4 linked regions of the Diceros bicornis minor genome follow. The protein of the gene in region 2 purifies or fractionates together with the protein of the main gene of each other region. This does not show direct contact. Links are inferred from orthologs where the notes say so. Each region holds a gene or a part of one and is shown on either strand. Other genes may lie near its edges. The genes, in order: XPO1, CDKN1B, CCNE2 and CCND3.

Region 1 (6,866 bases), on a different chromosome or scaffold from region 2:
TTCTTTGAAGAGCTCACCGTCAGTGGAGATTGTCTTCAGAGCCAAAAGGTCAAATTAAAACACAAACGTTGCTTATTTGACTCTAGTGTGACCTTAATAGCAAATATCTGTGACTTTGATAGGCAATAAACAGGTACTGTTCATATATTGTAGTGAGTATGTAAATTGGCACAATGTTTTTAGGGGGCACCTTGGCAGCACCTATCACAATAACAAATATACATGGGCTTTGACATAATAATTCCACTTTTAGAATGGTAACCTAGTGATATATTCACATTTGTGCCCAAAGATAAATGTACAGGGACACTCACCGCAGCATTGTTTTTAAGAGGTAAACTGGAAATAGGCTCATTGTCCTCAGTAGGGGAATGGCTGAATCATTTATGGTACTGAGAAGATGGGGAAAGCTAGGGGCTGTTACCAAGGATGAGGTGGATTTATACATTCTGACCCATTAAGTAAAAATCAAAGTCACTGAACAATATGTATAATATGATGTCATACATGTTGAACAAAACACAAAGCAAATACATTTGTAAATGCATAGAAAATATCTCAAAGCATACACACTACACCCTTAATGATTATTATCTCTAGGCAAAAGAACTGGGGAGACATATGAAGGAGACTATTACTTTTTACTGTAGATACTTCTTTCTCTATTGTTTGAATTGTTAACCATGATCATGTATTACTTTTTAAATTAAAAATAATTTAAAAAATAGAAATAAGTGACAAGTGGTAAAAAGGAATTTATGAGTTTGTTTCTCTTATTTCTGATGAATGTTGTTTCGTGACACCATGTGAACTAGTAGAAAGAACACAAACGTGGGTTCTAATGTTGACTCAACTACTGTGTGGTGGTGTGTACCTGTGTGCATGTGTATGTGTGTGTAACAGAGGGCAGGGTAGAGCAAGAGTGAGATTTGCAAAATAATAATTGTCTTACAGGGTTGCTGTAAGAATTCAGTGAAACACTGTACAAAAAGGTCTCTGTTGCTACACAACAGGAAGGCACTTAATACAGTTTACTTACATTTCCTTATCCATATCTGACTCCAGGTTTGAAATCTGTTTGATTCCAACAAATGAAGGTAATAAAAAAAATATTAGACACATGTCAGACCTATGTTCCGAATGTGATCCTGAAAACACAGTGCTCAAACATAATTATCTGCTCCTGTCACTTCTTTTTGCTCTTGTTAATAACAAGTTTATATTGAATACTTCCATTTTGGCTAACTCTAGGCAAAAAATATTTACATCTGATTCACTATGGTCAAAGAGATATGACCTCCTGGGGACAGGAGTTAAAGCGGCAAGGAAAAGAGCCAAAGAAGGGGATAGCAAACTGAGACTATTCGAACTTGACAATCCACAAAGTGCTTTATGGGTCACACTGCTCCTTCATATCCCTTTGATCCTTACGTGGATGAGACAGGCATGGATGATAACAACCTCATTAAACGGGTGAGAAGGAAACTGAGGCCCAAAGAGGTGAAGTGACTTGCCCAAGGTCACACTCTGAGCAAAGCCATGGCTTACTCCCAGTTTTTATTCCTATTATTCTGCCATCTAAAAATCAGTGGACTGTTCCAAGAGCTAAATATGTAGAGTGGAAAAACTTTTTAAAAAACAGGATAGCCTCAGTGTTTCTGGTAATAGAATGTAAGTACTCTAAATGATCAGTATATATCATACGTATTATGGCTTGATATTATTCAGTTAGGCAATGAATAAAAATCTTAGGTCTGAAAGTCATCCAATATCATTTTGGTGAATCTAGGCATTAAGTTACTGGGTTTTTTCCTTATTGGAAGGTGAGGTAGTTACTCTCGAGCGCTGCTTTGATGTTAGCCATTACCCATTGTGAGTGAAGACTTGCTGAAGTAAATTGTGTTGATTTAAGAAACCATTTATCAACCTCTTGGTGGCACAATGGGCCTAGAAAATTTTGGAGGTCTGCTTACTGTTTCTTAAGCAAAGAACAATCAGTAAAGCTGATTTGGAGGGCACCTGGGGACAAACAAGAGAAAAAAACATGTGAAAGGCCACGTGCCTGTGACTTTCATAGAAAATACTATTTGGTGATGACGAAGTATGTGATAGGGCAGCTCTGCTGAAAAGAAAAACCGTGGGTAGGGGCAGATGAAGGGCACCAGGTGGGAGGTAGTTTACCCACCAAAAACATGCGATGTCAAAAAATTAAAAAAAAAAATGTGATGTTAAACCAATTACAGGGATTTTAGTGTCTTAGTTTTTAGGAAGGTTGGTTTTTGAAGCAGCCAAATTCCGGCTCGGGGAGACGCTGAGTTAAAATTTGAAGGACTATTTAGGTGTCTTTTCCAGGACTCAGAAGATCCCGAGGCGCCAAGAGTGCACGCCCCACACCTCACCCCAACCTCTTTCAGGGTTATTCTCACACTCAACTCCCCGGCCCGAAACCCAACTCTTTAAATTGGATTACAGAGGTCCGGAGCCTACAACTAGCCTCCGATGTGTTCTTTTGGATCCTTTTTTCCTCCCCTCCCCAAAGAAAAAAATAACAGGGTGTGCCGTCCCTTTGCGTACCGCGGCCCCCATCCGAGGGGCGGGTCCTGATCCCGGCGGGCTCAGGCCCCGCAGCTTGGCGGGAGCCGGCGAGGGCGGGCCAGCGCGAGTCGGAGGAAGCCGAGCGAACGCTGCCGCGCGCCGCGCTCAAACTCGCGCCACCACCCGTTCACGAGCTGCGCCCCACCCTCTCCGTCACCCAAGGCGCCCAGCCAATGAGCAGGCCGGAAAGGCCGGGCCTGCGGGCTAAGCACTGGGAGGGGGAGCGGCGGGAGGGGGACGGGAAGTCGAGGGCGGGCTTCGCTTGATTGACAGCTCGCTCAAGCCAATCCTCCGCGAGGCTTCTCTTAGCTCCCTTCTCCGCTCTGCTCAGCTCTTCGTCCCACCTCCTCCTCCACCACCCCCCTCCTCACTCCTTTTTGACCCGCCCCTCTTCCCCTCCCCCACTCTGCGGGCAAATCGCTGCTGGAAAGAGGCGGGGGCCGAAGCGGCGGGCTCGTGTGGAGCCTTGAGATGGGACTGACGGGCGATCTGACCAATAAAAGGTAGGCTGATGGCGCGGCTGTGGCTGGAACCGGCCAATGGGCGGGCGGGCTGGGGGCGGAGGCCCAGGTTCCAAACGCTCCGCGGCGCCATGGGCTGAAAACTCAACCGAGATGGAATCTCCCAGTCTGAACCGGTTTCAACCGGTTCCGAGTTTGAGGCACTAGGAGGAGGGGGAGAAGCGGCTGCAGCGGCCGCGGCAGGAGCAGCGGGAGCTACAGCATCAGCAAGAGCAACAGTAGCTACAGCCCCGGCGGCGGTGCCTGTTCCAGTCTTTGCTGCTGCAGTCCGTGCAACCACCCAGAGGGGGAGGGGGGAACCACCAGTCGCTGAGAAGCAGGAGAAGGGGGGAAAGTTTAGGCGAGCCTGGGTGGGGGGGCCTAGCGCCGGAGCCGCGTGAGAGAGGGAGCCGTATTTTGGTAGGGGGGAGTCGGACTGCAACTGGCAGCAGAGCGTCCCCCGACCGTGTGGACTCTACACCCCCTACTCCTGCCGCTCCTGCTGCCGCCTGTGGCTGGAGGGTCCCCCGGGGGCTGAATCTTTGGGACTTGACCCCGTTCCCCTCCCCCTTCCCTCACTCCCCGGCCAGGCGGGAGCATTTATTCCACAGATTAATTCCCCTTTTGGGGGGGGCGGGTGGGTGTGTGTGTCGGGGGGAGGTTCCCTGAAATAGTAAATATTGTTGAGCTTTTTTTGCCCTTATCCTCTTGGTTTTTTTAATTTCCTTTTTTAAGGTGGGAAAACTGTGAAACCCACCTTGATTTCCTCCCCTCTCCCCCCTCCCCACCTTTCCTCGCCCTAATCCCCCGACGAGGAAGGAAGAAGCAGTTGGTTCAATCTCTGGGTAAGTCGACTGTGTCTTCGGGGCCGAGGGTCGGGCGGCGGCGCGGCCGGGCGGGAGGAGGCCGGCGTGGGGCGCGGCGGCGGCCGCGGGAGGCGAGCCCGGGAGGCGGCGGCGGGCCCACAGCCGAGCCTGCGATTGAATGGAGCCGCTTCTGCCGCTGGGGGATGGAGGCGGGGAGGCGGCCGCGGGAGGGGAGCGCTTGCTGGGTCATTCGTGTGTGCGGGTGGCGGTGGAAGAAGGCGAGGGGCGTGAGAGTGAAGTGGGGCCCCGCGCGGGGGTGGAAGGGCTTCCCCAGCCCCTGGGCTGGGGAGAAGTTGCGGTGATTTCAGGAACATTTCTGTAAATTATTAGGAGTGGAAGTTTCCAGAAATATTTAGTGCAGCAGCATTGAAACGTCCGCCTGCATCACGTGGCCCCTCGGTGGAGCGCTTGGGATCGGGGGAGGGAGGGGCTGCCGCGTCCCTGCTCCTCCTGCAAGGAACTCGGAATCTTCCTGGTTTTTGGCAGAGTAGGATTAGAAGTAGGAAAGGTTAGTTATTTTTCAGGGATCTGCAAATGGGGTTCCGTGCTGTAGTTTGTTTTCGGGGGCTTGAGCGTGTTAAGTGATCGAATTATTTACTGCTGGCATTGTACAGCAGATGATGCCGATTCTCCTTCATTCCGATGTCTCTTGAGTTTGGGGTGGGTGAGAGGAAGTGGTATAGTAGAGGAAGCTTTCAAGATTTGCCCAGCCCGGACCTCCTGTGATCACGCAGAGGCCATGCTGCATAGAGAATGGGGCGGTGAACTTCAGGCGCCTGCTCTAAATGCCTCCTCCGAGTATGGGCGGGGTGAGTGCGTGCTCCTGTATGCTATAGTTAGAAGTGCTGCAGATCGGTTCGGGTGGGAAGCGAGGGGAGGGCGGGCCTTACTGAGGTGTGTTTCTACTGAATGGAGGAGGCAATTGGCCACACACCCAAATAGCAGCCTCTCTCCTTGTAGCGACTTGTTTTTTTGACCTACTGTGTAGTTAACATTTAAGCAACGGTTATGATTTTCTGGTTTGGGGATGGGAGCTGGCAGTGTAGCTGCCTGCCTATTCAGTCTGAAGTGGCAGTGAAGGTATTTTGGTAGTCATTTGTAGAGTCACCACATTGCTGGGTAATCCCTTGTATATGCTATCCAGTGAGTGGATTTTAGGATTGAGTGTCCCAAGGAGAAAAGAAAGCGTTTGTGGTTTCACTTCTCTCGCTATGGCTGTTTGCTATCTGCCTGATTGTATATCTTAAGCGTGTGGGACAGTGCTGTTAGTGGAAAGAATGTTTTGTTTTGGAAGCTCTTTGATTTGGGGGACTAATTGTGCTTGGCATTGACCAGAAAGCCGCCATTTCTGTCCTACGTACAGTTCAAGAATAGGTAGGTCATTTCGAAGATAGCCGCTAGTTCTAAGGATGGCAAACTTATGTATTTAATACAAGCTTCTATTCTAAACCTGATTTTTCACAAGAATTTAGCTCGAAGGACTCTGTAAGGACCATATACTTGAAAATGAAACTTTACAGAGTCACTTTATTTTTTTATTTTGGCCTTTCAATTATGATAGGGCTAAATAGAAAAGTTCGTTCAAATTTTAACCAAAAAAAAATCGAAAACTTTTGATAACGTAGCTCTTGGTGCTTTGTGTACATTGCTTTTCAGCCTCAATTTTTAAGATTGTTCTGATCTTTTAAAATTGTATGGTACTTGAATGGGGGGAAATTTACCCATTTATTTGTGGAATATATATTTCCTTTTTTATATTAGTATTTATCCTTTTTTATATTAGTATTTAGAGCAAAGATTTTTGTTGTATTTGTCACGTATTCTGTATTAAAAACATTTAAAAACTGCTGTAAAATATTTTGAAATCTTATCAGTTTTACTGTCTATGGATCAAGCCTTAAGAGGAATAAAAATCCTTGAACTGTTTCTCGATTTTTACATTATATATAATAAAAAAATTAACTGACATCCTCAAGACTTCTAATCTGTTGTAATTGACATTATCAAGTAAAACATTTGAGTTGAAATTGCTGCCATTATTGTTAAGAACATCTTTAAGCTGCTATAAAATGGCCAAGAAATAACATCTTTTTCCTATCAAGCTACTTTGTCCAGGCACCATGTAATCAAATTAGCCACCCATTTCCTGATCCTGGAAGGTTTTTAAGAGGTGGAGAAGTGGAGATAACCATCTGATCTTGTTGGGTCTCCCAACAGTAAACCAGAGGTTCTTAGCCTGAGGTTTCTTGCGTGGCTTTCAGAGTGTCCTGAATCTTCTGTAATTGTATACAAAATTGTGAGTTTTTTTAATTTGGCAGGAGCTATCATTTTCCTCGGATTGTAAGGCGTCTTGACCCAAAAAAGGTTAAAGAGTACTGATTTAGCCCGTCAGACTTCAGTGGCACTGGCTTGAAGAAAAAGCAGAGGAAAGAGTTTTATAATGCTGGGCAACAAAAATGTGAATGTGTGCCAGCACTTTGGAATAGAGTCCTCTTAAAAGGATAACATTGCATATGAACCAGTAGGTTTTAGCCAGTACATTATTTGAGGTGAAGAAGCTCATTTTTCTGTTATGATAGAATTTGTTTTTGTTTGGGAAATAGTTGGCAAGCTTTTACAGCTTTTTACCTTGCCAGTGAATACCTGGAAATTAAAAAAAAAAAATTGACATATTAGCATAAAGGTTTTTTTCTAGACTATATTCAAGGAATTTGTACACTTGTGATTTTAATCCCCAAGTTCATTGAGGGTTGAAAGAAACAAATATAGATGGTTTAATTGAGTGTAGAAACTTAAGTTCTGTAGAAGTTAAGGGTACTAGATTTGTTAGACAACTTGTTCCTGCTAATCATTGCTATATATATCATAGGAAAACTTGTATACCACGTTTAATTTTTAGCATCTT
Region 2 (7,379 bases):
TTCTCTGTATGTCAAAATGGGGCCAGATCAAAATCCAGTAGGTCTGATTCACTGTGGCTCATCTGATGAACAGCCACAAGTCATAACAAAACAAGAGCTGCAAGTATTCAGGTTGCTTCAGGAAAATTTTTCATCCAACCTTCCCACTTCATCTACAGCTGTAATATAGAGGTTCTATAGTGCCATTTTGTATAAGTTCTGAAAAATATCAGATGTATGTGAAAAAGTCATATATATGACATTACGACTTAAAAACACAAAACAACAAAGTTAAAAACAAAACCAACAAATCCCTACGTTCTTTATTTTTAAATTTTTATAAATGAGGACTTAAGTTATTATCAACATCTATTAAAATCTCTTTATATGCTAGGCTATGAGTGTATTTTGGGGGAAAAAAGAGGTCACAGTCCTTGTTTATAAGAAGTTTACAAGCTATTAATATATGTAGTTTGATCATTAGGGATAGCCAATCCAAGTAAAATTGGGGGCTAAATTATTCAAATTAGCTACTCATGTTGATCAAATTTTAGTAGATGGAAAAATCTCCACTTCCCTTGTGCGGGGTAGACCTACCCTGCCAGCCCTGATAACTACTATCCATTTCCCCTACAAATATCCAAATCATCCTGTTACAGTGCGATTAGCATACACATGCTGACGTGTTCCTGGATTGCTTACTCTGGCAGAGTTAATTTAACTTCTGCTTTGCAACTTCAGTGTAATCAGAAATTCTGTAGGAACTTGAGTATTTTTGAGCTTTCCATTTTGCTTTTTTTAAATACACAGCTTCCTTCTCTGTCCCCAAAACTTGTCAGAAAACAGGGAAAGTAACAGTTTATGAAAATGATAAAAGAATGCGATATACCTCTCTATTCACATTTCTAACGGTTTGATTAACCAAATATGAGCCGTCTGGACCTAACTTTTCCCTCAAAATTTAAATTTATTTGCCATTTTTCCATGTATGGCTCAAAATCTGTTACTGACTCAACTTGAACTCTGGGAAATGAATTCTCATGAAGTGGGACTGAGGCATACCCCAGTTCTTGTTCAAATGGGGAAAGAACCTCTTGTTCCCAACATTTTTAGTGGACTCAGGGAATTGACCTTCCTACCCACCGGGCCTTGGTTATAAGTACTTGTCTGGGACACTTGCTCTAGTAATTGTGTGTGTCAAGGGAAAATGACCTCAGGACGTAGAAACTGTGAAGAATTACAGTAACCCCACAGTGAGTCTCAGCCTTCTCCATTCCTGCTTTTTTGACCTCAAAAAATATAAACAAAACAGAAACCCGCAAGCTCTAATCTGCCAGCAACCACTAAGATCAGGTATCTTGGGGTTTGAAAGCCTACGACTTCCTGCAGTCCAATTCGGGTGTTAGTTATTTGCTCCTAGTAATCAACCCACCGAGCAGTTTACGTTTGACGTCTTCTGAGGCCCGGCTTCTTGGGCGTCTGCTCCACTGAGCCCGCGTTCGGGGAACCGTCTGAAACATTTTCTTCTGTTCTGTTGGCTCTTTTGTTTTGAGGAGAGGAATCTAAGGGCAAGAAGGAATTTTAAAAAGAACACACACAATCTTTATTAGAAAAAAAACAATGGCTGACAGAAGTTGGCACAATAGTCAGGGCATGAAAAACCCACCACCTCCACCCACAATCCTGGATCCGTCGTTCCCAGGGGCCTTGCAGGGCACAAAACGAGGTTGTTTTCACATAACAGAAAGTGTCTTCTACGCCCCAAAGCTTTTTGCTCTCCATAGCGAAGGGGAGGCCGTTGATAAACATCCCATCGTTGTCACATACCTACCCCTGGCTAGCCAGGGGGGACTGCGATGGTTTCAGTTAGAGAAATGATCAGATAAGGCAATCTCAGGCTTCTGACTTAATCGTAAACAGACCAGCAGTCAGCTAGACAGCATTGAAAACCTAAGATTAGGAAAGTTCGCTCCCCAAAAGCTACATCAGAATACGCTGAAAAGAAAGCCGAGGTGAAGACCCTCGAGCAGGCAGAGCGGTGCCCCGGACAGACAGACATTTAGGCGTTTGCAGGGTCTTTACCGTCGGCGGCAGGCCGCTTCCTGATCCCAGTGCACGGCTCCGCTAAGCCCGTCGGGCTGTCGGACGCGTCAGTCTTTGGGTCTACCAAATGCGTGTCCTCTGAGTTTGCCTGAGACCCGATTAAAGGCACCGCCTGGCGGTTCGCGCTGACATCCTGGCTCTCCTGCGCCGGCACCTTGCAGGCGCCTTTGGGTGGCCGCGGGGGTCTGTAGTAGAACTCGGGCAAGCTACCCTTTTCCACCTCCTGCCACTCGTATTTGCCCTCCAGGGGCTTGTGATTCTGGAAATCAAAATTCCACTTGCGCTGGCTGGCCTCTTCCATGTCTCGGCAGTGCTTCTCCAAGTCCCGGGTCAACTCCTCGTGATTCACCGGGCCGAAGAGGTTTCTGCAGGCGGACGGCTTGGGGTACTCCGCCTGTCGGGCGTCCATCCGCTCCAGGCTCGGGCTCCCGTTAGACACTCGCACGTTTGACATCTTCCTCCCGGGTCTTGACGCCCGCCGCTCTCGGGAAACACAACCGAACAAAACAAGACGCCCCGACCCGGCCCGGACCCCTCTTACGAGCCCCGCGACTGCCCTCGGAGCGGAGAGCAACAAACACCCCCGAGAGAGCGCCCGAGCGTCAGGAGCGCGCCGGGCTGGGGGAGGGGGCGAGGGGGAGCCCCGGCCAGGCAGCCGCGAGCGGCCGCCGCTCAAGCGGACGGGCGAGCGGGAGGGCGGGGAGCGCAGCGGCGCGGAGGGGGCGGCAGAGCCAGTCCGGGTCCGGGCCGCTGCAAGCCCGCGGGTCCCGCGCCCCGAGCGCCTGTCCAAACCTTGCCGGCGTCCGAGTCGTGGAGCGGCGAGAACGTGGGGAGCAGGGAGGGGGAGAAAAACACCCCGAAAAGACGAGCCCCCTTTTTTTAGTTGCCCAATATGGCGGTTGAAGGGAGGCTGACGAAGAAGAAAATGATTGACACCGCAAGTCTATTTAAACAGAGGAGGAGATCCATTGGTTGCGGCGCCGGGAGCCGCGCCCCGACGAGGCTGGCGAGCGCGGCCTTAAGGTGGCCCCGGCGCGGTTCGGCCGCCTCCCCGCCTCCCCGCGCGCCGACTCCGAGAGCGCCGGCCGGAGATTGGCTGGTCGCGTGATTGCTGGAGGTGTACCGCTGCCAACAAACCTGCTCTGGCTGGCCTCGGCGAAATTAAAAATGAGACAAACAAACTAGCCAAACGGCCGGGAAGCTGGGGAGGGGCCTGGGCGGCGGGGCCGGTGGGGCCTTGGGTTCTAGTCCCGGCGCTGCGCTGCCTGGCGCGCGGCCGCTCGGAAGCCCCGACCTCCCGCTCCTCGCCCGGGAAATGAAGGGGCTGGACCAGATGATTCCGAAGCTTTTCCCCGCGCTCGCCGAGCTGGGAGTGCGGGCAGACGCTGGGAGCTCTGCCCCCAGCTGGGCTCTCAGCCGTGGCCCCAACCTCTGGCACTGGGGGGGAGGCAGGGAACATTCCCTGAGGGGCTGGGAGCCCCCTGCCTGGGTGACTTGGCTGGGGATGAGCAGTGGTGAGCTCCCCCTTAACCTAGAAGTCGCAGCTGTTCTAGGGGAGGCAGGGGGCTTAGGGAAGAAGCCTAGGCGAACGGCTTTCTATAAATTAGCCTGGAGTAGGCGCAGCATTTATAATGTATTCTAAACCCAAGCTCTCCCTCAATAAAAATAAGAAGGGAGTTCAAAATCAAAACCTGGTCTCCCAAGTCCCGTAGCCGTCTCAGACACATTGAGTTTTCAAAACGAGGTTACACCCCTGGCCCGGCTTCTTGCTTCCCGAGCACAGTGAAGGCCGTTGACATGGGCTGCGTGTGGGAACTCGTCTCCTCTTTGTATGTTTCAATTCTTTCCCGAGTTGTAGCAGTTTCCTCTACCTGAGTCCTGCCGCCAAATACAACAGCTCCTTCCTTCCTCTACCTTTCTCTCCCCCCAGACTCGCTGCTTTAACCCACCCAGAACAACATTCAGATGCAAGTGAGTGCTTTTCGAGGCCTCCAAGTCGTTGAAGGGTGAAAACAATCTGCAACTCCAGATTATGAAGTGATTTATAAAATCACCACACCATGTCCTCACTTCTGATATTATTATGTGGGCATTTCTCTGCTCCCCTTTGCAACTTGAAATTTACCTGTCCATATGATCTTGAGCACGGTGGTGGAAGTTAAAACGGGATGGTCAGGGCTATGATATCTGAGACAGAGCTCAAAGGGTCTTTAACTGCCTCCCCACCCCATCCCCAATACATACAATCTTGGTTTGGGCCCAGGTTAATACATTTTACTGGAAAGTAATCTCCTGCAGTTCTAATAGTACACAGCAACAATGTTTTCTTGTGCATCTGTGCTACACATGAGTTTGATTTTTAACTTGTTTTCTTCACCACATGTTTGTCCACTCTCTGTGCCTGCCTCACCTCATACTCTCCAGAAGGTAAGAGCTGGGAGGGGCCCTGGGAACCCTGTGGTTCAACCCTCTCTTTTTGCCACTGAGGAAATTGAGACTCAGAGAGGCTTCCTAGCCAGGGACACATATCCAGTTGGTAGCACCGCCAGGACTAGACACAGGTCTCCTAACTCTCAGGCTGGTTCATTTTCTGTTCCTTTCCTTCCTGATGGCCCCAATGGGTTCAGGTTTTTGTCTGGATTCGCCTGTGCTGTCCTCTGCAAGTCCTCCTCTCTTATAAATGATTCAAAATGGCTCCTTCTCCTGCCCTGGGCTGCCTGCACATGTCTCCTTGATATGGCCTGTGGTCACTGATGTTTAAAGGCAGCTGTCTCCAGCCTTTGGTATCACTATACACTAGTTAAACTAAAATGCAGATTCCAGGATGAGGTGATAGCCAGAGAGCAGTGAGGGAGGCAGTGCCCAAAACATGTTTCAAAGTCAGGACTTCCTACCTGACCAATAGAAAATATTTCACCTGCGATCAGAGTAAGATGTCTCATCTTAATTTTTCTACATTTAATGCCCCACTTAATTTACTGGATTGGAGAAGAGGGGGAGAGGAACAGGAAAATTAGTGTAGGCCTCAATACCATAATTTATACCCTATTCCTGAAATTTGATCATTGTTGAAATTTTTACATAAGTCCTAGACTACACAGGAATTCTATGTTATACATAAGCATAAATTCACAGTCATAAATACACAAACTACCATGTAAATGGAGATATTCTAGAGTATTACACCTTGTCACAAAAGTTTGATTTTATTCATGGAATTAATATCTTACATAAAAGTAGAAAATTAGTACTTCTATCCCCTACACACCCTGACTCTTTCTTCAACTGGTGTGTAGGAGCACCATTTTGTTGCTTTGTTAAATCTTGAAAAGTGGAGCACGCCACCTTAAGACGTCTGGCTGCCGGCTGAAAGGCTGTGCTTACATCGACCTTGCTATGATCTAAAGTGTTTTGTTTACAGTCAAGACACCGGAGATCTGTACAGCAAATAATGAGAAGGCAGGCGTCTGCTGTAGTAGCAACGAAGCGTGAAAAAAATACTATGGAGTCCCCGAGGGAAGAGGGAACGCGGAGATCAGAGCGCCATCCTCCTGCGGAAAGTAGGCGGCTGCAAAAGAGTAAGCCAGGGAGAAAAATTGCAGATAAACAGTGTGAAGGCGGAGCTTCGGTAGAAGACAGAACGTTCCACTTGCCCTGCTCTAAAATGGGCTCTGCTTCCCCAAGACTCAGAATCTAGTCCTGGGTGATGTTTTCGTTGTCGTTTTCACTCCTGGTAGTTTCCTGCTGAGAGCTGAGAAGTGTCACATAAGACACCCAAGATTTCTGTGTTCTTCACAAGCTGGGGAGATAGGCAAAGACCAAAATAATTTAAAAGAAAACACCTGTGTGGTAGACAAGTGTCCGAATGGAGTGGCTGGGCAAGCCCGCCCCTCAGATGCAGTCGGCGGGTGGGGGGTGCGGGGAGGGAGTTATACAGCCCCTAATGTTTCTGCACAGGTACACACTTCCTTGCCCAGTTGCCCCTCCCACCACAAGCACACAATTTTAATCCTTCCTTGAGGATGTTTATAACGAGGCAGCTTCTCTCAATTTCACTATTCTCCTAAACCGACATATTTTTAGAGTTTGGAAATTTCACAGTCATCTGTTTTTGACAGCTTTCACTCAGTTTAATAAATATTTATTGAGTACCCTCTATTAACTTGCTTATTCTTTGTTTCTTTCAACAAATATTTATTGAGTGTCTTCAATATCCCAGGCTCTGGGGATTCAGAAGTAAACAGATTTAAAACTGGGAAGAAGCTTACATTCTCGTGGGGGGAGGGGAGACAGAAAATAAACACAGTAATACATGAGTAAAAGATACACTATGTAAGGAGGTGATACATGCTGTGGAGAAACAACAAACAGGAGAGAGGGAAAGAGACTGTTTCCAGGTCCCAATGTGAACAGAGAGGTCAGGGAGCGCCTCACTGAGAAAGCGACCTTGGAGAGCAGCCCTGAGGACTTGAGAAAGTGAGCCATGTGGATATCTGGGGAAAGAGTATCTCAATAAAGGGAACAGCAAATTCAAAAGCTCTGAAGTGAGATCTTGTCTGATGTACTCAAGGAACAGCAAGGAGCAAGGGGAGAGTGGTAGCAGGAACATCAGATCATACAAGACAATGTAGGCCACTGTACGGGTTTTATCACTGACTGAGTGACACTAGGAGGTGTTGCCCAGTGGCTTGATGTGATCTTACCATGTGTAAAGCATTCCCCAAGGCATTCTCAGTGGGGAGTGAAAGGACGACTAAGTCACAGTCCCTGCCTTTAGGGAATATAGACCCTAGATGGAGAGACAACCACATGCACAAAAAAACCACAGAAGTAGAAAGTAATCCATGGAAGAACATGGTACAATGATGGAGTACAAAGCAGGGAGAAAGAGAAAGCCTTCAAGGAAATGATATATGAGTCAGATCTTGAAGAATGAGAAAAATGTCAAGAAGATTGTAAAGATGTGTTGGTAGGGGTAGTAACTGGGAGATGGGATCAGACAGGGCAGGCCATAGATGGCATGCTAAAAAAAAACATCTGTTTTATTCAGTAAACAATGGGAACTGATGGAGCTTTTGGTGAAAGGAAGAACATGATCACTGTCCATAACTTGCCTCCTGAACAAGAGCAAGCCTGGGCCCTGAGAGACAGTGTCTAGGGGCACAGCTAAATGAAAAGCTGGGTAGACAGTCCCATTATGGTGTTAATCCAAAGGGAGCTAGTTGTTGGGCAGAGCACAGGGGTGAGTCAGGAGGGCAGAAGCACAGGCCATGAGACCAGGATGAGAGGGTTTGGAA
Region 3 (6,945 bases), on a different chromosome or scaffold from region 2:
CCCAAACCCATAACCTCATCTAACCATCAAGAAGACATCAGACAAATTCCAACTGAGAGACATCCTACAAATCACTTAACCAGCACTTTTCAACACTGTCAAGCACAGCAAAAACAAGGAAAGTCTGAGAAACGGTCACAGCCAAGAGGAACCTTAAGGAGACATGACATCTAAATGTGATGTTTGGATCCTGCAGCAGTAAAGACATTAGGGTAAAACTAAGGAAACCTGAATACAGTACGCACTTTAGTTAATGCATCAACATGGATTCATATGGTAACAAATGTACCACACTAATGTGTCAATAAATAAGGGTGAGGTGGTGGCGGAGGGTGGAGGAGTATATGAAAGCTCTGTTCTACCTGCTCAATTTATCTGTAAATCGAAAACTTTTCTAAAAAGAGTCTATTACTACAAAAAAGCCCTCATATTAATCGGGAATAATTCTCCCACCCATCACTCTAACCTAGAGAATTAAAGTTCTCTGATAGGATATCCTATGCATAATTAAATTCAGTATTTACCAAGGTCCTACTATGTATGCCTCTGAACTACTCGGTACTGGCGACAAAAAGATGAACAAAACAATGTCCAAAGCCTAGTTGGAGATAAAAGACATTTTAATAGGTAATTATCGTCCTGTGAGGTAGCATAACTAGAGAACAGAGAAAAGAGTCCAGGAAGGCTTCACAGAGGAGGTTTGGCAAAGAAAAGGCACAGAAACAAAAAATAGGTGGGTTGGGCCTGATTTTTTTAAACCTGTGCCTCTAAGACTCTTCCTGGGTTTTTTTTCTTCCTTTTTTTCTGAAAATGAAAGCACTGTAGAGGCCAATAGTTTTATTTACCACGATGTTTCAACTTTGCATGTACAATGGGGAAAATATACTTTAGAAAATGCCAAAATTTCTAAAATTATTACAAATATAAAGGAATTTCATACATTTCAAAGGAAGCGAATTTTAAAACGGATGAGTGGGAAAAGAGGGAGCTAAAAATGAACATATAAAAATAGAAACAAAAGATAACATATTGAAAGATGATGCCTAAAGTAGGTACCCAAAGGATGACTACATAAACAAAATTCTGGGAAACTGTAATTTTATAATTCAGCTTCCTGTTTTGTTCAGGATCCTTAAAACCACTTAATTTCTATGCGTATAAGCTAGTAAGGCGGGTAGGCAGGAGAGCGGAGAGCTAGCACTGAGCATCGCTCTGTGCCAGGCGCACATGCGAGAGAGGGTCTCTACACACATGATCAAATTTAATCTTTAAAACCACCCGTAAGGGTCTGGCCCAGTGGCGCAAGTGGTTAAGTGCACGTGCTCCGCTGCTGCGGCCCAGGGTTCGCGGGTTCAGATCCCCGGCGCGCCCCTACGCACCGCTTGGCTTGTCAGGCCATGCTATGGCGGCGTCCCATATAAAGTGGAGGAAGATGGGCATGGATGTTAGCCCAGGGCCAGTCTTCCTCAGCAAAAAAAAAAAAAAAAAAAGAGGAGGCTTGGCAGATGTTAGCTCAGGGCTGATCTCCCCACAGACACACACAAAAAAACCAACCCTTAAAATGAGTGTTTTGCTGGCCGACCGGGTGACTTATCGGTTAAGTGCGCCCTCTCGGCTACTGGCAGCCGGGGGTTCGGATCCCAGGCGTGCACCGACGCACCGCTTCTCCAGCCATGCTGAGGCGGTGTCCCACCTACAGCAACTAGAAGGAAGTGCAACTACGACATACAACTATCTACTGGGGCTTTGGGGGAAAAAAAAAAGGAGGAGGATTGGCAATAGATGTTAGCTCAGAGCCGGTCTTCCTCAGCAAAAAGAGGAGGATTAGCATGGATGTTAGCTCAGGGCTGATCTTCCTCACAAAAAATAAAAAAAAAGAATAATAATAAAAATAAAATTAGTGTCTTGCATCTTTTCTGGAGGCATTGGGGCACTTGCAACGGAGCAGGACTGGAACCTCGGTCCATCTGAGAGGTAAACCCAGGTTCTTTTTAGTTCCACTTGACCACTGACCAGGTACTTGGAATATGGCAGAATTCACCCTGTTCGTGTCCACACAAAGAGGACTCGGGATTGTTTCTAATTTCTCCTTTACGATGATTGCACTCGGTTCACTTTATACTCAAGGGCATTGACTAAAGTTCATTCCTATAATTACAGTGTCTTGTTTACAAGTAATTTACTCGTTAGCCCAGTGCTGGGCATATAATACTCCAAGATTAATCCTACAAATGTTAATAGACATCCCTGGTTTTCAGTATATTTTGATTATCAGATGCACTCATTTAGGCCACCAGTTTTGCTTACGCTCAGGTAACACGCACTTGCTGCAAGACCTCCCTTTTCTAACCTTTGCATCCTAACAACGTTTTGAGGTGACTGCAAAAGGGAGGCAACGCTTCCCCTAAGGAGAGAGCCATCAGAAGCATTATAAATGGTGTGAAATTTCTTGGGACTGACAAAATTCTGGGACTCTTCTGAATCTATATCACCTTGGGCAAGACTTTTACTATCTCCTCAGGCATAAATTTGGGAGAAAAACAATTACTTTGCCGGTGTCACCACACTGTTGTAAGAATCGAAAGAGAAACTGCGAACAAGGACTCTGCCGGCCCGGGCGGCCCGAGGAGCGCTCGTTATTTCGGGGCTCTGAGGCCCGCACGGGCGCAGCGGCACAAAAGGCGCGGGGCGGGGACCCGGCTCTGTCCCGGCGCCGCCGCCGCCTGGTGCATCTCGGGAAGGGCTCCCGCCGGGCCGCGACGCGGGGCCAGCCCGGCGGCTCACTCGGGGCCAGGGCAGAGGGACGCACACGGCCGGCCCGCGCCCGGAGGAGTGCCGCGGGTTCCAGGAAGCCTTTGCACGGCTCCTCCACCCCGGGGGCCTTTGTTCCTGGAGGCGTCCCCCGCCCCACTGCTCTCGCTGCAAAACCTGTTCGCGGAGTATCATCGGCCTGTCCTACTTGGAGATGTCCAGTCTGGGGCGCGCTCAGGGGGCGTTAGAGGCAGCGAGGGTGCCCCTAAGTTTAGATATGGGGGAAAAGAGAAGGAAATGCATCGGACCCACCTCCTGCCATTATAGGTCGGAGGCGGGCGGCTCCCTCCCGCGCGGGCAGCTCTCGCGGGCTCCGCAGGGCGCGCTGGCGGCGGCGGGGCGGGGCGGGGCGCGGCGGGCGGGCGGGCCCGGAGCCGCACGTGGTGGGACGGTACTCCCCGCTGGACCCGGCCCCTGAAGAGCCGGTGCTCTCGCGGGGAAGGGGAAAGCCGCCCTCGGCCTTGCTCTGGAGAGGCGTCTTACCCTTGGGGCCCCGGAATTACAGGTTGGGAGGACAGGAAGGGAGGGTGCAGCAGAGCGTGAGCGTTTCCTGCGCGGGGACTACAGAGTGGGAAGCCGCCGGGCAGCGGCAGGGCGGCGGGGTGCAGAGTGACCCACCCACGGGGAGGATAGCCCGGTCGGCGGGACAGGGAGCGGGGAAGCACGGTTGATACGCACCTCGGCCTGCGGGCTGCAGCACAGTGCAAGTAGGCATCCCGGAGCATGGCTGCCCTGGGGTGCCACAGCGCTCCCGGTGGTCCCACAGGCCCGACGGGTGGCGCGGGGGGACACACGTGGCCGGACGCGCGCCGGGCTGTGTTTACATTCTGCAGCCGCTCCACGTTGTGCTGCCGTCCTCGCCTCCCATTGGCCAGCTCTCCAGCCGAAGCTGCGCTCCTCCCGCAGGGGCGGGCCCTTTTGGTCCCCGCGCCTCTTAGGAAAGCACCCGGTTCCTTCAGGCCTTGGCGGGACAGCCAGGATGCGCCGCAGGATGGCCACTTCCTGGCCACTCTGTGCTCGCCCAAGCAGGCACAAATTGGCCGTACGCCGGGCATGAGCCGCGGCCTGACGCCCCTGCGATCGGGATTTGAAGGCGGGAGGGGACAGGAAGGTACTGGCGGGAGATGCGGCAGCCAAGCGGCAGGGAGCCGAGCCGCGGAGGAGGAGCCTCTGAGAGACTCCCTCCCGCCGCCGGGCCGCGCAGGCAGGCGAAGTGGAGCGCAGGTGAACGCGGACTCAGGGCCTGGGCGAGCGGGTCCTGCAGCCCCTCGGGGTTGGCCGGAACGAACTGAGGGCAGGGCGCGGGGCGCGGGCCCGCGGGGCGGGGGCGGGCGCGGGCGGGCGCGCGGGGGAGGGGAGCGCGCTGTCCGGAGGTGTCAGGCTGAGGCGCATGCGTGCGGGGCGGGCCTGGCCCGGCCTATATATTGGGTTGGCGCCGGCGCCAGCTGAGAGCCGAGCGGTAGCGGGTCTGGCGGTGAGGAGGTGCGGGGCGCAGGGTGGGATGCGGGAGGAAAGAAAGCCCCCTGAGCCGATCGTGCCGCGGGCGGGAGCCTGGGGGAGGAACAGTGGGAGGGCTGAGAACTAGGCGGCTGGGGCATGGGTCCCCGCGTTCGGTCCCTGTCAGGACTCTTGGCAGGGGGCCGGGAAAGCGGCGGGGGATGGAGGGATGCCCTTGAGTGGGAGGCCACGGAAAAGCCCCTCGTTCTAGGGGCTTCTCTCTCCCAGCCCCATTTGGGGAGCTAACCCTAGGGAGAGAGGATGGGGGTCTGGGTGCCCTTCACGGGGAGAAAAGCTCCCCGACCAGCCCAGTTTTCTCCTTTCTTTAGCTCTCTTTCCTTCACTCCCACACCCCATCTGGAGTCGGGGTCCCGGTGCCCCTTCAAGCGACAGGCAGAGCCCGGTGAGGCTGGGAAGGAGGGAAAGGAGACTGAAGGACGTGACACAAGTCTCAGTTCCCTCCGCCCTCTGCTTCCCCGCCGGCGCCGCTCTCCAAATTGGCGCGGAACCGGCTTCTCCACAGCCTTTCGCCTCCACAACCCCCTCTCCCCGCGGCTCGTCCAGGATGGGAGGGGGGAAGTGGGGGCGCTACCCAAGCCCCACTCGGGGTGTACGGGGGACAGGATGGAGGACACAAAAAGGACCCATTTGGGGGAGATCTGCCTCCCTGAGCGTTCCGGGTGCTGAGGGTGCTTTGTAAATTTTTGAAGACACTTGCTGCACATTGGCTGACCATTCAGTTGAGGAAATGCAGGCATGTGTCGAAAATTAACACCATGAAATAACTAACACAGTGCAGAAGACAGCATGGTAAAATGGCTCAGGCCGTCTCCTGAGGGACTTGGCTGTAACTTCTGAATCAGCGTCTAACTGGCACTTGGAGACATGGATGACAATGTATTTGACCCTGGTTTTTCCTACCTCCCCTCCAGAGGTTGCATACACCTGAAAGAAGAGGATGTCAAGACGCAGGTAACGTTATTTGTCTTGGAGATATGCTTCAAAGTTAGCTGCTGCCTTTGAAACTCATGACTTACTAATTAAACTTCCTTTTAAAAAATTTACTGTAGTAGCCGTTTACAAGCTAAGCCCCAGCCCCAGCCCAGCCGGACGGATTCCCCCCAAGACGCCCAGATAATTCAGGCCAAGAAAAGAAAAACAGCCCAGGTGAGTTAAGAGGAGAGGGAGAGAGAGGAAATTCCTTGCTGGGACCTTAGTTTACCAATGGTCTTTTCTGTTTTCCAGGATGTCAAAAAAAGGAAAGAGGAGAAGGTCACCAAGAAACACCAGTATGAGATTAGGGTAATGCAGAACTGGGCTGGGTGGATTGGAGGGAAACAAATGCAGGACAAATAAGAATAGAATTGGGTTATTGCTTGGCAATAGAAAGATTCCTGACACTTTTACTTTTAATGCCCCTAGAGGTCAGCAGGAAGGCGCTTATCTTGGGGTAGTTTGTATGTGCCTGAATCCTACTACAGCTGCAGAGTAAGTTGCCTTGAAGCAGCTGGTTCCTCTTTGTAAATCCCTCCCTCTTGGAGCTGCCTGGTGCACCAGGGCCCGCCTAATCTGTCCAATGTACTGCTCTTTGTTCCCTCTCTGACTATAGTGAAGGGTCCTAATAGCTGCTCCTTGGGACATAAATAGGATTTGAAGTCACTGACAGACTGGCACCCAGCCCTGTGCTACCTATTCTTTCCTATGTGTTATACAGAAAACACTTTGGTTCTCTTTGAAAGCAGCATTGATTGGGGAAAGGGTCCTTTAAGTATTTAAGTAATTGATTACACTTGATTCCATATTTAAGGTTGTGCCTTCAAGTATTCTCAAGTAAGGGAGCAGGCTTAACTGGGAAAAAAAAGCTTTTTATAAAACAAGGTGCCCTTGCAACTGTTGCTAAAAACAGGGAGAACTTCAATTTTATAATCTTGGAAGTGATTAGTATTTGACTAAAGACGCATTTTATTGTTATTCCTACCCTCCCCCAATACTTCATTGTATTTCCAGAATTTTTTGTTGTCTAAAACATCCTGTTACTCTTTATGAAGACTGATATGAGCTATATGGCTTATTCATAAAATATGAATGTTGAATTAACTAGATTGTCAGCAACGTTAGCTAACAGTGGTGTTTGGTGGAAAACTATAGACTGTTTAGAAATACTAGCTTCCATTTATGAAAGACCCAAGACAAAAGCTGGTTTTGTATTGCATGAATAGATATTCTTTTTATTTTTTTTTTAAATGACAGAATTGTTGGCCACCTGTATTATCTGGGGGGATCAGTCCTTGCATTATCATTGAAACACCCCACAAAGAAATAGGAACAAGTGACTTCTCCAGATTTACAAATTACAGATTTAAAAATCTTTTTATTAATCCTTCACCTTTGCCTGACTTAAGGTAAGAAAGATTTCAGTAATTTAATGTCAAAGATTAAAATTGTACTGATTTAATATATGGTACTCCTTTGAGTTATTTTTGCCTGCATTATAGAATAGAAAAACTTGTAAAAAATTGCTTTACTAATATTTAAGTGTATATTTTATCTCAGAGTACTGCTATTTGCAAATGATATGAGTATTTAAAACATTGGTTCTATAGTTATTTTCATTTGCTTGCTGAGCCTTATCAGAAG
Region 4 (7,118 bases), on a different chromosome or scaffold from region 2:
GCAGGACCCTTCCCTCCTCCTCTGGGCCTCAACCTTCTCTGCTGCACAAGGATTTGGACTGACTGGAGTTCTCTGAGATCCCGTCCAACTCTGACCTTCTAGGAAGCCATCTGCACGCTCCACCCCCAGCTCAGGCAGAGGGAGTGGGGGAAGAGTAAGAGTACATTTTGCCTGTTCTGAAAAACTCCCGTCACACAAAGACACACATACCATCCCAGTCTTTTCACAAAAAGGAAGTCCCCTTCTACCTTCCAGCCCAAACCCCTCTGGAAACATCTTGGTCGCCAGCCCTGGAAACCAGCTCCACCTTCAGACTTGCCAAAAACTACCAGATTCATCACAAAGAGCTGTGGGGCCTCCCAGATTCCCAACTCTGGCCTCCTACTCCCATCTCGGAGAGCTACTTGGCAGGAAGAGGAATCCTGTTCCTCGACAAGCAGCAGTCGGGGGCCCCAGTACCCTGGCTTCCTGGCCAGCCAATCACAGCAGCCTGCATGCTGCCCTCCTCCCCTGGAGATGGGGCCCAGAGACTCCTCTCAGGGTCAGCAGAAGACTTGGCGGACAGAGAGCAGGGTGGGGGAAGGTGCCAGCTCACCCACCCTCTCCCCCAGGCCTCCCCAGGAGATGATCTGCATGCCCCGAATAACCTCTTCCAGATCCAGGCAGCTCTGCCACCTCCTCTCCAGGGTCAGTGGGGAAAGAGAACCCGGGGCCCTCCTGCCCTCCTGCCCTCCTGCCCTGGGAAGAGCCCAGCCCAAGTTCCCAGCAAGAGGCCCAGGGAGCCACTTCCCAAACCACAGGAGTGACAGCAGCTCCCCACAGGGTTATGAAAGACCTTGGTCAGAGTGGGCGGGCCAGGGGAGGGGGCATCATTATCACATCGGAAGCAGCTGCAGTTCAGCTCCCTGTCTGTCCCTCAGCTCTGGCCTTTGGCTAAGGGGGAAAGGGAGAGATGGTTCTACCAGGCCCAAAGCAGCTGCTCAAGTTCCTCAGAATGAGGACAGGGAATGGAGGATTAGGAAGGAGCCGTCTCTTCTGGGATATAAGGGGAAGGAAAGAAGGTAGGATGAAACTCCTTGGCCCTTCCTTAGAGCAATCAGGGCCTGGCTTTAATCTGCTCTGGGAGGCTTTTCAATCACAAAGTCCACACTGGGATCAAGACTCAACCAAAGCAGCCCCCCTCCCCCACATGAGGCACATTCCACTCCCCCACTCCAGTGGGGGTGTACAGGCATGTCCTGCTACTGCCAATAAATAACTCATGGTGGCTGTGTAAACCCAGAGGCAAAGTACTAGGAGTGTAGACATGCAGTTGGACTTGTTGGGATCTGGGGGAAAGACCAGGAAGGAATGGCACCCCCTGGAGGTCAGGAGAAGGAGATTTAGTTCCTGCCAGCAGCTCAAGCCACTGGGGCTGGGGCTACCCTAACCATCACACCACACAGCCCCATCTTTTGTCCAAAAACATAGCCTCTGCCCTCTGGTAGCCATGCTCCCTCCCCAGGGGGCAGAAAGCCTCTGAGGCCTTAGCTTTCCTTTTCCTGGTAAGTGAGGAGGCAGTACGTGTTGGGGGTGGGGGGAGTCATGCACGCACCCGCAGCTGGCGGGGAGAGACAGAGTGGTCGGTGTAGATGCACAGTTTTTCGATGGTCAGGGGCGTAGTCTCGCGCAGCTTGGAGGCCAGCAGCATGCAGACCGCACCCAGGAGCTGCAACTGCGCCTTGCGGGTGGGGACGCAGGACAGGTAGCGATCCAGGTAGTTCATGGCCAGGGGGAAGACTTCTTCCTCACAGCGCTGCTCCTCACATACCTGGGGGGGGTGGGCACAGTCACTTCTGGGCAGGGCCGTGGGAAACGCAGCAGTACTAAAGGGGGGGGGGGTGTGCTGACGGGAGATGGAGTGGAGAGCAAAAATGGGAGGGGGATAAGTGTACTTATAATGTCAAGGACTAATACGGAGGAGGATGCGTCCTCCCCAAGGTGACGCCCCCCACTTCCTCCGCGTTGCCTCCTTCCCCCTCCCCTGGGGGGTGGGGGACGCCAGAGGCTCCTTTCCTTAATAAGGATTCCAAACTGAGACTCCCCTCCCCCATAGCGGGGGGGAGGGGGAGAAACGGAAGAGTCACCCATGTTAGCCAGAGAGCTGGGACCTTACCCCCATTACCACCACCCACTGCACACACCCAAAGGGAAGGGAGGAGACTCCTGCCGCTGCCTCCCGCACTTTTCATTTCCCTGACGGCCGGAACAGCGCGCGCGCCACCCCCACCGCCTTCCCCGCCAGAACCCCGCGACAGACACAGGAACCGGCTCTGGGGCGGGGGCGGCCGAGCCCAGGGTTTTCCAGGCGCGCACTCCAGAGAAGATCGGGCGGGGGAGGGAAGTAGGAGACGCTGAGAGAAGCCGGAGGGGAGAGGGTGGCTCTTGTCCCGCTTTCCTGGCCCGAAGAGGGGATTGGTTAGGGTGCCAAATGATTGGCAGTCAGAGTCAGGGCTGGGGAAGGGAACGGGTCACCACGGAGGCAGCCGGCTAGGGTGCCCGAGTGGAAGGCCAAACCGGGGGTCTGGACCACCGAAGCATCTTGTTGATTGTTGTTGGGACCAGGATGTCCCTATAGGGCGGCACCGGGATGTCCGGAGCCGGGGACGCAGGGGCGGAGGGGGAGGGGAGACCCGTCCCGGCGGTACCTCCAGCATCCAGTACGCCAGCATCTTCCGCATGTGCGGCTTGATCTCTCTCTGCACGCATTGGAAGTAGGAGGCGCGGGGCACATAGCGCTCCTCCAGCCGGAGCAAGCTCTGCAGGACACGCTGGTCCCCCAGCAGTCGCGGGTCCGGCCCGGCCCGGGGCGCGTGCCGGGAGCCCTCGCAGCACAGCAGCTCCATCCTCGGGCAGCGCACAGGCAGGGCGAGAGTGCGGGCTCGCGAGCCAGAACGCAGGCGGCAGGCCGGAGAGCGCGGGGCGCGGGTCTGGTGCTGGCGCTGGCACTGCGCGGCCGAGCCCCAGCCCGCCCGCGCCGGCGCGCGCGCCGCTTCCCTGACAGGCGCCCCGCCCCTCGCGACGAGGTAGCGACCGTGGAATGCTCGAGCGTCGCAACGTTCCAAGGGGCGGGGCTGCCGGCGCCCAGACGGAAAGGGCTGGCGGGCGCTCCCCCTCCCTCCCCGCGGCCGCATTGGTCGGCGCGGCGCGGGCCGGCCGGCTTCCGGGCGCTCCGGGCCCTTCTGACCACCCAGTGGAGAGAACTATCTTGGAGGTGGGCCTCTTCCCCAGCAAAGAGCCCTCCCATTTTGCTTCTCTGTCTCTAGTTGCCCAGGAAAGAACTTTTCTGCAATGGTTATTCATTCATTCGTCAGACCCTACTTCACCCACTGCTTGCTCCAGGGACTATAAATAATAAAATAACTAGTTCTTAGTGAACACTGTTCTAAGCACTTAAAGTGTAATAACTTATTAAATCCTCACGAAAACTCCATGAGTTAGGTATTACACTTATTTTGCAGACGAGGAAACTGAAGCACAGTAACTATAACAATCATGCAGTCAGTCTGCGGCAGAGCTGGGACTGGGCAGCCGACAGTCTGCCTCCAGAATCTGTGCTCTACGCCATTGCTCCTTCAACTGGGATCCCCAGACCAGCAAGATCTGCACCGCCTGAGAGCTGGTTAGAAATGCAGACCCTCAGGTCCACCCCTGACCTGCTGGATCAAAATCTGCATTTTAACAAGATCCCCGTGATTCCTGCGCATATTAAAGCGTGAGAAGGGCTGGTCGAAATCAGCACATTACAGAAACACAACAGGGCGGAAAGGCCATGGATTCAAGGCCTCACCTTGTCATTAAGTTGGCTCTGTGGCCTTGGACAAGCCCTGAAATCCGCCTTAGTTTCTGTTTGAGGAAAGAGTGGGCGGAGAAACTAGATCCTCTCTGAAGGAGTTTCTTGATCAGACTCTACAAAATCTTCCAGTTGCCATTTCTTCTACCTCCCAAACTTTCCCCAAAGCTGGATTCCACAGGACCAAGAGGCAGACCACAGGCCTCCAGTTATGCTCCAATGGAAGGAGGCCTTGGGGATCTCTGCCTCTCCTGGGGTCCTCCCAAGGGAGGAGACACTAAGGAAGTGAGTTACTAGAGAAATGACACTGGACAGAAAAGGCAAGTTCTATGTTAAGCATTTTCTCAATGAATTGTTCTTTTTTATAGAATAAATCTTATTGTAGTTTCCAAATCATGGAAATATTCATTCGCATTGCAAAAACTTAGAAAATACAGATAAGCCACACAAAACAAGGGAAAATAATAATTACTTGCAATTTCACCATCCAGAGATAACTCTTTAAAACGTCAATGTTTATTTTTCTAAAATTGCTCTATAAGTAAACACATATTTTTCAAAATGAGATCGCAAACTGTTTTGTAAGCTATTTTTGTCAATAAAAAATATACTGTTAACACTTTTCCATGTCGTTAAATATGCTACAACATTATTTTTAATGGCTACACAGTATGCCATTCGGTGAATGTATAATGCATTTTACCAAATCTGTATTGGTGGAAATTCTTCTCTATTAGAAACAATATGTAAAATATTTTTGTGGTAATATCTTTGTGCAGACTCATGATTATTTCTAGAAGTGAATTAATTTCTAGAAGTGGAATTTCTCAATCTAAGGTTATGAAACATTCTAAGGCTTTTGATACAATTCTTATTACCAAATTTCCCTGCTGAAAGGCTGAACCAATCTAATGAACAAACATTATATATCTATTTTAAAAAAACCACAACTCTGCCAACTGGAGAGATGAAAAGTGGTTTATATTTTTTAATTCAAGAGCCCTTGTTGTGCCAACATGAATGTGTCACGTGCTTTGTCTAATCTTGTAAGTCCTTTACTCCTGTCTTCAGAAATATAAGTATGAAGTTTCTTTAGCTAATTATTCATTGCATTGCACTCTTTCATTAAAAAGAACAATAGATTTAAAATTATAAAGATTAGGTATGAAATTATGGGGAGGCAAAAATGAAGTGTAAGAGGTTTTTAAGGTGCAGGAAGACTAAAAAAATCTAGCTTTTGAAGTAAGTACATCACCAGAAACCAGATCTGTCTTGAAGGAAGGTGTTTCTTTACTTTCAGAATTATCGAATAGGACTGTTCAGGTTAGAAGATTGTGTATTTTTTGTGTGTGTGAGAGAGGAAGATCAGCCCTGAGCTAACATCCATGCTAATCTTCCTCTTTTTACTGAGGAAGACCGGCTCTGAGCTAACATCTATTGCCAATCCTCCTCCTTTATTCCCCCAAAGCCCCAGTAGATAGTTGTATGTCACAGTTGCACCTCCTTCTAGTTGCTGTATGTGGGACGTGGCCTCAGCATGGCCGGAGAAGCGGTGCGTTGGTGCGCGCCTGGGATCCGAAACTGGGCCGCCAGCAGCGGATCGCGCGCACTCAACCGCTAAGCCACCGGGCTGGCCCAGACTGTGTATCTTTGATGAGAGAGTTAATCACCATTGTTTTAAAATTTTTTCCCAGCTTTACTGAGATATAATTGACATATATCAATTGTATTAGTTTAGAGTATACAACATAATGATTTAATATATGTATACATTGCAAAATTATTACAATAAGTTTAACATCCATTACTTCACATAGTTATAATTTTTTTTCTTGAATGAGAACTTTTAAGATATATTCTCCTAGCAACACTCAAATATACAATACAGTATCGTTAACTATAGTCACCGTGCTGTACATTATATCCCTAGAACTTATTCATCTTATAACTGGGAATTTGTACCTTTTGAGCACCTTTCTCCATTTCAGACAGCCTCCAATCTGTTCTCTATTTCTATGAGTAAGGAGTTTTAAATTCCACATATAAGTGAAATCAAACAGTATTTGTATTTCTCTGTCTTATTTCACTTAGTATAATGCCCTCAAAGTCCATTCATGTTGCTGCAAATCGCAGGATTTCCTTCTTTTTGTGGCTGAATAATATTCCATTGTATATATATATACCACTTTTCTTTTTTTTTCTTTTTAATTTTATTTATTTATTTCCCCCCAAAGCCCCAGCAGATAGTTGTAGGTCACAACTGCACATCCTTCTAGTTGCTATATGTGGGACGCGGCCCCAGCATGGCCGGAGAAGCGGTGCATCGGTGCGCGCCCAGGATTGAACCCGGGCCACCAGCAGCGGAGTGCACGCACTTAACCGCCAAGCCATGGGGCCGGCCTATATACCACTTTTCTTTATGGAGAAAGAAAACGAGAGATGAAAAGTGATTTATTGGTAATAATATTTTGACATATTATTTACATTTCTTAGGTAAATTAATTACCTATTCATATTTCTGTCCATTCTTTTATAGGGATGTTTGTTTTCTTATTGATTTATAAGTGCTCTTTATATTTTAAGGACATTAACCCTTTTTCATACTTTTTTCTTTGTCACAAATTTTAGTTCACTGTTTCCGTCTCATTTTTGGTTCATGGTGAAGTTCTTTTTTTTTAACAAATAAAAGGTTTATGGGGCCGGCCCGGTGGCGTAGCGGTTAAGTGTGCGCGCTCCACTGCAGCGGCCCAGGGTTCACAGGTTCGGATCCTGGGTGCGCACCAATGCACCGTTTGTCAAGCCATGCTGTGGTGGCGTCCCACATAAAGTAGAGGAAGATGGGCACGGATGTTAGCCCAGGGCCAATATTCCTCAGCAAAAAGAGGAGGATTGGCAACAGATGTTAGCTCAGGGCTGGTCTTCCTCAATAAATACATACATACATAAATAAATAAATATAAAAAAATAAAATAAAAGTGGTTACAAATTTAAAAAAAATAATAAAAGGTTTTTATTTTTATGTAGCCTTATTTACTGATATTTTCTTTAATGATTTTTGCCTTTGAATCATGCCTTCCCCATCCTAAAGTTATATAAGTACTAGAAGAAAATGTAGGAAATACTTACAGATGATTTTTTTTATCACCCAAAGAGCTTGCCAAAAATGCAGATTTCTGAGTCCTGCCTCAGGGCTTTTCATTCTTTGAGTATGTGATGAGGCCCCCAAAATCTGCATTTTCAAGAGTACATACAATAAAGTTTTGTTGTTTTTTTTTTTAATGTGTAA

What was found.
Region 1: the proteins of CDKN1B (region 2) and XPO1 purify together in Homo sapiens (affinity purification with western blotting; 4 studies listed by BioGRID). This does not show direct contact. The link is inferred for Diceros bicornis minor from reciprocal best matches to the Homo sapiens genes CDKN1B and XPO1.
Region 3: the proteins of CDKN1B (region 2) and CCNE2 purify together in Homo sapiens (co-immunoprecipitation; 5 studies listed by BioGRID and IntAct, with this or other methods). This does not show direct contact. The link is inferred for Diceros bicornis minor from reciprocal best matches to the Homo sapiens genes CDKN1B and CCNE2.
Region 4: the proteins of CDKN1B (region 2) and CCND3 purify together in Homo sapiens (affinity purification with western blotting; 9 studies listed by BioGRID and IntAct, counting the BioPlex papers as one, with this or other methods). This does not show direct contact. The link is inferred for Diceros bicornis minor from reciprocal best matches to the Homo sapiens genes CDKN1B and CCND3.

The regions. Positions count from the first base shown.
Region 1 is NC_080751.1:25,718,239-25,725,104, forward strand, and holds the start of XPO1 (exportin-1), read left to right. Parts: upstream 1-3,851; 5' UTR 3,852-3,940; intron 3,941-6,866. UniProt on the Homo sapiens protein: Mediates the nuclear export of cellular proteins (cargos) bearing a leucine-rich nuclear export signal (NES) and of RNAs.
Region 2 is NC_080756.1:48,208,240-48,215,618, forward strand, and holds the start of CDKN1B (cyclin-dependent kinase inhibitor 1B), read right to left. Parts: upstream 3,004-7,379; 5' UTR 2,537-3,003; coding exon 2,062-2,536; intron 1,542-2,061; coding exon 1,420-1,541; 3' UTR 1,412-1,419; intron 1-1,411. UniProt on the Homo sapiens protein: Important regulator of cell cycle progression. Inhibits the kinase activity of CDK2 bound to cyclin A, but has little inhibitory activity on CDK2 bound to SPDYA. Involved in G1 arrest. Potent inhibitor of cyclin E- and cyclin A-CDK2 complexes.
Region 3 is NC_080760.1:14,116,574-14,123,518, reverse strand, and holds the start of CCNE2 (G1/S-specific cyclin-E2), read left to right. Parts: upstream 1-4,046; intron 4,047-4,100; coding exon of another isoform or gene 4,101-4,203; intron 4,204-4,501; exon of another isoform or gene 4,502-5,240; 5' UTR 5,241-5,266; coding exon 5,267-5,280; intron 5,281-5,378; coding exon 5,379-5,475; intron 5,476-5,553; coding exon 5,554-5,610; intron 5,611-6,558; coding exon 6,559-6,710; intron 6,711-6,945. Other genes in the region: uncharacterized protein LOC131419404, read right to left, coding at 3,490-4,046, 4,101-4,203. UniProt on the Homo sapiens protein: Essential for the control of the cell cycle at the late G1 and early S phase.
Region 4 is NC_080753.1:23,496,668-23,503,785, reverse strand, and holds the start of CCND3 (G1/S-specific cyclin-D3), read right to left. Parts: upstream 3,004-7,118; 5' UTR 2,886-3,003; coding exon 2,688-2,885; intron 1,811-2,687; coding exon 1,595-1,810; intron 1-1,594. UniProt on the Homo sapiens protein: Regulatory component of the cyclin D3-CDK4 (DC) complex that phosphorylates and inhibits members of the retinoblastoma (RB) protein family including RB1 and regulates the cell-cycle during G(1)/S transition.